Linked DNA regions of Saccharomyces cerevisiae S288C. The protein of the gene in region 1 interacts with the protein of each later gene in a pairwise test. Each region holds a gene or a part of one and is shown in the gene's direction. Other genes may lie near its edges.

Region 1 (3,763 bases):
TGTAAGGCAGCCTTTTGTCTTACAAGAATTTATCGAAGGAGAACTCTTGATGAAAGATTGGGATCCATTGATTGAAGACGGTTCCTCCAATCAAAAAAAATATGACAATGTTATTAAACAAGTTTCTGATTTTCAGTCGAAGTTAGTGTCATTGAAATTAAATGCATTTGGATCCATATATTTTAACAATGACTTAAAAGACGGAAATGAGAAGGAGTTTGTTAAGGAAGACATATACGATGGGGAAACTAATCCGGATCTACAAAACAGATGGAAAATTGGGCCATCCGTGGAAAGATGTCTCTGGAGACATAAATCTCACTTGGATTTTCATAAACAAATGAAACCTTTTTTGGGACCATGGCCAAAGAAGTCTCCAATGGATATAATTAAAAATACTGGCCTATTGGAAGCTGAAAATGCTAAAACTAGAATAGCCATGAAAGAGGCAGGAAGTTCAGCTGAATTGATGTATCCTCGAACTTTGAAGGAGCAAATAACTACCTATGAAAATTTAGCTAAGATTGCCCCGGATTTATTCAACGTCAAAACAAAGGCCATTCCAAATATGCAGGAACTATTGTCACCACGTTTGTTTCATCCTGATCTAGACCCCATGAATATTATTGTTAACAAAGAAGCACAAGAAGCCTATCTATTAGATTTTGAAGGAGCATGCACAAAACCTTTCATTTTACAGAATTCGCCACAATTCATCGCCTATGATGGGCCCAAGATTTATGACTTAAAGGAGGACATAACCGATTTTGACAAATTATCTGAGGCGGAAAAGGTGCAATATCAGTTCATGTACAAGCGCACCCGTAATCAACATCAATGGGAGAAAAAATTAAATGACAATAATCCTAAATTAATTACTGCAGTTGCCCCACCTGTTAAGCTACTGAGAAGCCCATATATTGCAGCTGTCGAAAGAAAAACGGAAGAAGAGTATTTACTTATTGATGAATCACTATTGCAATTGAAGGAAGTTTGGGACATCTTTGCCCAGAATGAGTTAGTGAATCAGAAAAAGTTTCCTCTAAACTATAGTAAAGAAGATATTGAAAGACATGTTGAGGATTTGCAAAAATTACACGAAAAGCTAATCTCTACACCATTTGCTGCCACTCAAGGGTGGATTCCTCAAGATATGTTTGATCAACTATTAAATTCCGGCAGTATTGTTAAGCAAGAGAACGGAGACTACACCGTGAAGCAACCTGAAGCTACCAAATAATCTATACTAAAAATGAAATATTTTTTTGTTTTCTTTACCTCATTCAACTGTATAGAACGTTATAACAAAATAATCAAGTTAAAACCCTTTTTTGTACACAATGGAATCTCTTCCATTTACTAATCAACTTAACAATGCTGGATTGGATATATTGATAACGTTTTAAAAAGCGTTGCGTGATGTTTGGGTGCAATTGGCGGAAAAGCGGAACTTTCAAATTTACGATAGGTGGAGATACATCTCCACCTTTCTCCCCATTATCTTTGAATTTTCCTCAAATATATAAAGAGAACAACAAATCCATAGAAATGCCATTGTTTAATCCTGATTATCTACATTGTTTTAGTTTTTTACTCACAATCGAGTAATGCCTTTGTTTGGCCAAGCTATGTGCAAATATCACAAATTAAAAATTTGGTTAAGCAGTTAGGCTGGACCTAATATTTTAGAAAAACCTAATTTTTTTTGTGGACCCATTTTCGATATTTACTCACAAATGGAATTCAAGGGGAACAACTTCGGTCTCAGCACTTTAATTATTCTTCTCGTTCCCACCTAATTTCGCAATTTATTGTCCTTGACTTCTACCACGAGAAAAAAATTAAGAAAATGCAACGCTGCCCGTGCAGGGTTTTCTGAGCGGGATGAAAAAATCAGACAAATATCCAAGTTATGAGTAATTACTTTGTTGGAAGGAGGGAGCAGAGGATAAGGAAATTCTTAAAACTGTTATGTATATAAAGGAAGAACCATTTCTAGTTATTTCACTTTTTGATACTTGTCAACTATCTTAGTAAAAATACAGAACTCTATAAAGAACCACAGAAAAATCGACAGCAATGACAAGCATTGACATTAACAACTTACAAAATACCTTTCAACAAGCTATGAATATGAGCGGCTCCCCAGGCGCTGTTTGTACTTCACCTACGCAATCTTTCATGAATACCGTTCCACAGCGCTTGAATGCTGTAAAGCACCCAAAAATTTTGAAGCCTTTCTCAACGGGTGATATGAAGATTTTACTATTAGAAAACGTTAATCAAACTGCTATTACAATCTTCGAAGAGCAAGGTTACCAAGTCGAATTCTATAAATCTTCATTGCCCGAGGAAGAGTTGATCGAAAAGATCAAGGACGTTCATGCTATTGGTATCAGATCAAAGACTAGATTAACTTCAAATGTCTTACAACATGCGAAGAATCTGGTTTGTATTGGTTGTTTCTGTATCGGTACCAACCAAGTTGACTTAGACTACGCTACCAGCAGAGGTATTGCTGTTTTCAACTCGCCTTTCTCCAACTCAAGATCAGTAGCAGAATTGGTCATCGCTGAAATCATTAGTTTAGCAAGACAACTAGGTGATAGATCTATCGAATTACATACCGGTACATGGAATAAGGTTGCTGCTAGATGTTGGGAGGTAAGAGGAAAAACTCTTGGTATTATTGGGTACGGTCACATTGGTTCCCAATTATCAGTTCTTGCAGAAGCTATGGGTTTGCATGTGTTGTACTACGATATTGTAACTATCATGGCCTTGGGTACTGCCAGACAAGTTTCTACATTAGATGAATTGTTGAATAAATCTGATTTTGTGACACTACATGTACCAGCTACTCCTGAAACTGAAAAAATGTTATCTGCCCCACAATTTGCTGCTATGAAGGATGGCGCTTATGTTATTAATGCTTCAAGAGGTACTGTCGTGGACATTCCATCTTTGATCCAAGCCGTGAAAGCCAACAAAATTGCAGGTGCTGCTTTGGATGTTTATCCACATGAACCAGCTAAGAACGGTGAAGGTTCATTTAACGATGAGCTAAATAGCTGGACTTCTGAATTAGTTTCATTACCAAATATCATCTTGACACCACACATTGGTGGCTCTACCGAAGAAGCCCAAAGCTCAATCGGTATTGAAGTGGCTACCGCATTGTCCAAATACATCAATGAAGGTAACTCTGTCGGTTCAGTCAACTTCCCAGAAGTGGCATTGAAATCATTGTCTTACGACCAAGAGAACACTGTGCGTGTGTTATACATTCACCAAAATGTACCAGGTGTTTTGAAGACCGTCAATGATATTTTATCGAACCATAACATCGAAAAGCAATTTTCCGATTCAAATGGTGAAATTGCTTATTTAATGGCTGATATCTCTTCTGTTGACCAAAGCGATATTAAAGATATTTATGAACAACTAAATCAAACCTCTGCTAAGATCTCAATTAGATTGCTATATTAATATGCAATCGATTCTCATACTGTCAACTTTTTGAACATGATTAAAAGTTTCCTATAAAATATTAAAAAGAACCAAAAAAAAAATGGATAGAAGAATGCTTGAGGCAATAATAATGATTATCTATTTTATATATACATACATAATCATTTAAGTTTTTTTTTTAAAGATATTTCGATTTAGCCGAATCTGCTCAATGCCTCTTCGATGACATCCTTGTGGTCTTCTGAAATTAGGCCTTGTTTGATTTGGTGGTTTCTTTTACGAATATTTTTCT
Region 2 (3,401 bases), on another chromosome or scaffold:
CTACTATCTCCAATTTTTGGATCTTTGTTAGTGAATCGCTGGCCCTGGAGATCCACTCAATGGTTTATGGTTATTTTATCCGGATGTAATGTCATTCTTTTGACGGTGTTACTACCTGAAACATTAAGAAAACAAGATTCTAAAGGCGCTATCGCTCAAATTTTGGCTGAAAGACGTATTCAAGTAGACAATAACGAACGTGGAGAGATACAAGAAGATTATCAGAGGGGAGAAGATGAGACAGATCGAATTGAAAACCAAGTTGCCACATTATCTACTGAGAAGCATAACTACGTTGGAGAGGTAAGGGATCAAGACTCGCTAGATTTAGAAAGTCACTCTAGCCCCAATACTTATGATGGTCGAGCTGGAGAAACCCAATTGCAACGGATTTATACAGAGGCGAGTAGAAGTCTGTATGAATATCAGCTAGATGATAGCGGTATCGATGCAACAACAGCACAAGTTACGAGAATAAGATCAACAGATCCAAAGTTAGCGAGATCGATTCGAGAAAATAGTCTGAGAAAATTACAAACCAACCTGGAAGAGCAAGTCAAAAAAGTGCTATCCAGTAATGGAGGTGAAATCGCTCCTAAACAGGTATCAGCGGTGAGGAAGGTCTGGGACACCTTTTTTGTTTATTTTATCAAGCCTTTAAAATCATTGCACTTCCTAGAATATCCACCCGTGGCACTTGCAATAACATTTTCCGCAATTTCCTTTTCCACAGTATACTTTGTTAATATGACAGTTGAATATAAATATTCAAGGCCTCCTTACAACTTTAAACCATTATACATTGGTCTACTGTATATTCCGAATTCTGTAACATACTTTTTCGCCTCAATTTACGGTGGACGTTGGGTGGACATGCTTTTAAAAAGATACAAAGAGAAATATGGAATTCTTGCTCCTGAAGCTCGTATATCGTGGAATGTTGTTACATCTGTAATATCTTTCCCCATTGCGCTATTGATATTTGGCTGGTGCCTAGATAAAAAATGCCACTGGGTAACGCCACTAATTGGAACAGCCCTCTTTGGATATGCAGCTATGATGACAATTGGTGCTACCCTTTCCTATTTAGTCGATTCATTGCCGGGAAAGGGTGCCACCGGTGTTGCTTTGAATAATTTAATAAGGCAAATCTTGGCTGCAACCGCAGTCTTTGTCACCACACCCATGTTAAACGGTATGGGAACTGGGTGGGCTTTCACAATGCTGGCCTTTATCGTCTTGGGTGCTAGCAGTGTACTTATAATACTGAAAAAGCACGGTGATTACTGGAGAGAGAACTACGATTTACAAAAATTGTACGACAAAATTGATTAATCATATCGGTTAATAAGACGGAAGCGTAAATATTTTCATTGTAGACTTTTCATAGGGTGGCACATACATAGTTTACTTTAGTTTATGGTAAATCGTTATTGTGCTAAAAGTATTATTAAATAATGTTCAACAACATCTCAAGAGGCGAAAAACTCATCAGAAAAAGAAATATAAACGCGAAAGATCATTAATGAACACTAGCCAACAAAAAAAAAGGATATATCAGGTCCACTGGTATTGAGATTGCTAGCGAGGTCAATAAGCTGATGCTGCATCAAAAAATAGCTCATAAAGTTCGAAAAGTCGTCGTCCCAGGTATTTCCTTATTGATTTTCTTCCAGGGATGCCTTATTCTTTTGTTTCTCCAACTCACCTATAAGACTCTTTACTGTAGAAATGATATAAGGAAACAAATTGGTCTCAATAAAACCAAAAGATTATTTATTGTCTTGGTATCATCCATTTTGCATGTTGTCGCACCATCTGCAGTGAGAATTACCACTGAAAATTCCAGTGTTCCTAAAGGTACTTTTTTTTTAGACTTGAAGAAGAAAAGGATTCTTTCTCATCTAAAGTCCAATTCGGTGGCCATTTGCAATCACCAAATATACACGGATTGGATATTTTTATGGTGGTTGGCTTACACATCGAACTTAGGGGCTAATGTCTTCATTATTTTAAAAAAATCGTTGGCTTCCATTCCTATCCTCGGTTTCGGTATGAGAAACTATAATTTCATTTTTATGAGTAGAAAGTGGGCACAAGACAAAATAACCCTAAGCAACAGCCTTGCTGGCCTTGATTCGAATGCAAGGGGCGCCGGCTCACTTGCTGGAAAGTCACCTGAGCGCATAACTGAGGAAGGAGAGAGCATATGGAATCCGGAGGTTATTGATCCAAAACAAATCCATTGGCCATACAATCTTATCCTATTCCCTGAAGGTACAAATCTCAGTGCTGATACTAGGCAAAAAAGTGCTAAATATGCTGCCAAAATAGGCAAAAAGCCATTCAAGAATGTGCTACTGCCTCATTCTACAGGCCTAAGATACTCGTTACAAAAGTTGAAGCCAAGTATTGAAAGTCTTTATGATATTACGATCGGCTACTCCGGTGTAAAACAGGAGGAATATGGTGAGCTTATATATGGGCTGAAGAGCATATTTTTAGAAGGAAAATACCCGAAGTTAGTCGATATTCACATCAGAGCATTTGATGTTAAAGATATTCCATTAGAGGACGAGAATGAATTTTCAGAATGGCTGTATAAAATTTGGAGTGAGAAGGATGCTCTAATGGAAAGGTACTATTCCACTGGATCATTCGTAAGTGATCCTGAAACAAACCATTCAGTTACCGATAGTTTCAAGATCAATCGTATTGAGTTAACTGAAGTGCTAATATTACCAACTCTAACAATAATTTGGTTAGTTTATAAACTTTATTGTTTTATTTTTTGAATTTAAATAATCCTTTCCATATGTTATTAGGTACATATATAGATAGATATAAAACTTTTTTTGATTCTTTATCAATATTACGTTTACATACGTACTCTCGTGCAAGGAAAAATACTTTATCCTAATTCAGGAACATCAAATCATAATTTAATTGTTTGTGCATCGATGGCTTCCCAATCAGCAGCGGTCAAGACTTCATAGCGCTTGTAATTCTTGAGCCAAAAAATAGTGTCATTTCCATCCAAACCCTTTGGTAATTTTTGCTCTCTATAAACCTTCTTCAAAATTTTATGATTATCTGTCATTTTAATTTCATCAACAAATTTAACAAATAGGGGCATAGCATAAGACGGTAGATTTAACCGGCTCAAGGAATCATTTAATAATTTGGTCTTTGCAGTGATGTCAAGAGAGTTGTCAGTTAGTTTAATAACTGCAAAACCAGCTCTACCTTCATATTTAGGTACTTTAATACCAACAACTAGAACTTGTGCATATTGTTCTTTGTTACTGGCCGTCAACTGATCTTCTACTTCAGTAGTGGAAACATTTTCAGATTTCCATCTGAAAGTATCACCCATTCTATCAAGGAAATACCATAATCCA

What was found.
Region 2: the proteins of SER3 (region 1) and CST26 interact in a two-hybrid assay, tested with the Saccharomyces cerevisiae proteins (one large-scale study listed by BioGRID).

Annotation. Positions count from the first base shown.
Region 1 is NC_001137.3:320,607-324,369, forward strand, and holds SER3 (phosphoglycerate dehydrogenase SER3), read left to right. Parts: upstream 1-2,079; coding exon 2,080-3,489; downstream 3,490-3,763. Other genes in the region: AIM9 (Aim9p), read left to right, coding at 1-1,240; UTP7 (Utp7p), read right to left, coding at 3,666-3,763. UniProt on the Saccharomyces cerevisiae protein: Catalyzes the reversible oxidation of 3-phospho-D-glycerate to 3-phosphonooxypyruvate, the first step of the phosphorylated L-serine biosynthesis pathway. Also catalyzes the reversible oxidation of 2-hydroxyglutarate to 2-oxoglutarate.
Region 2 is NC_001134.8:319,810-323,210, reverse strand, and holds CST26 (putative acyltransferase), read left to right. Parts: upstream 1-1,601; coding exon 1,602-2,795; downstream 2,796-3,401. Other genes in the region: QDR3 (Qdr3p), read left to right, coding at 1-1,335; long-chain fatty acid transporter FAT1, read right to left, coding at 2,936-3,401. UniProt on the Saccharomyces cerevisiae protein: Acyltransferase with lysophosphatidic acid acyltransferase (LPAAT) activity. Fatty acyl substrates include 18:0-acyl-CoA, 16:0-acyl-CoA, 17:0-acyl-CoA and 14:0-acyl-CoA.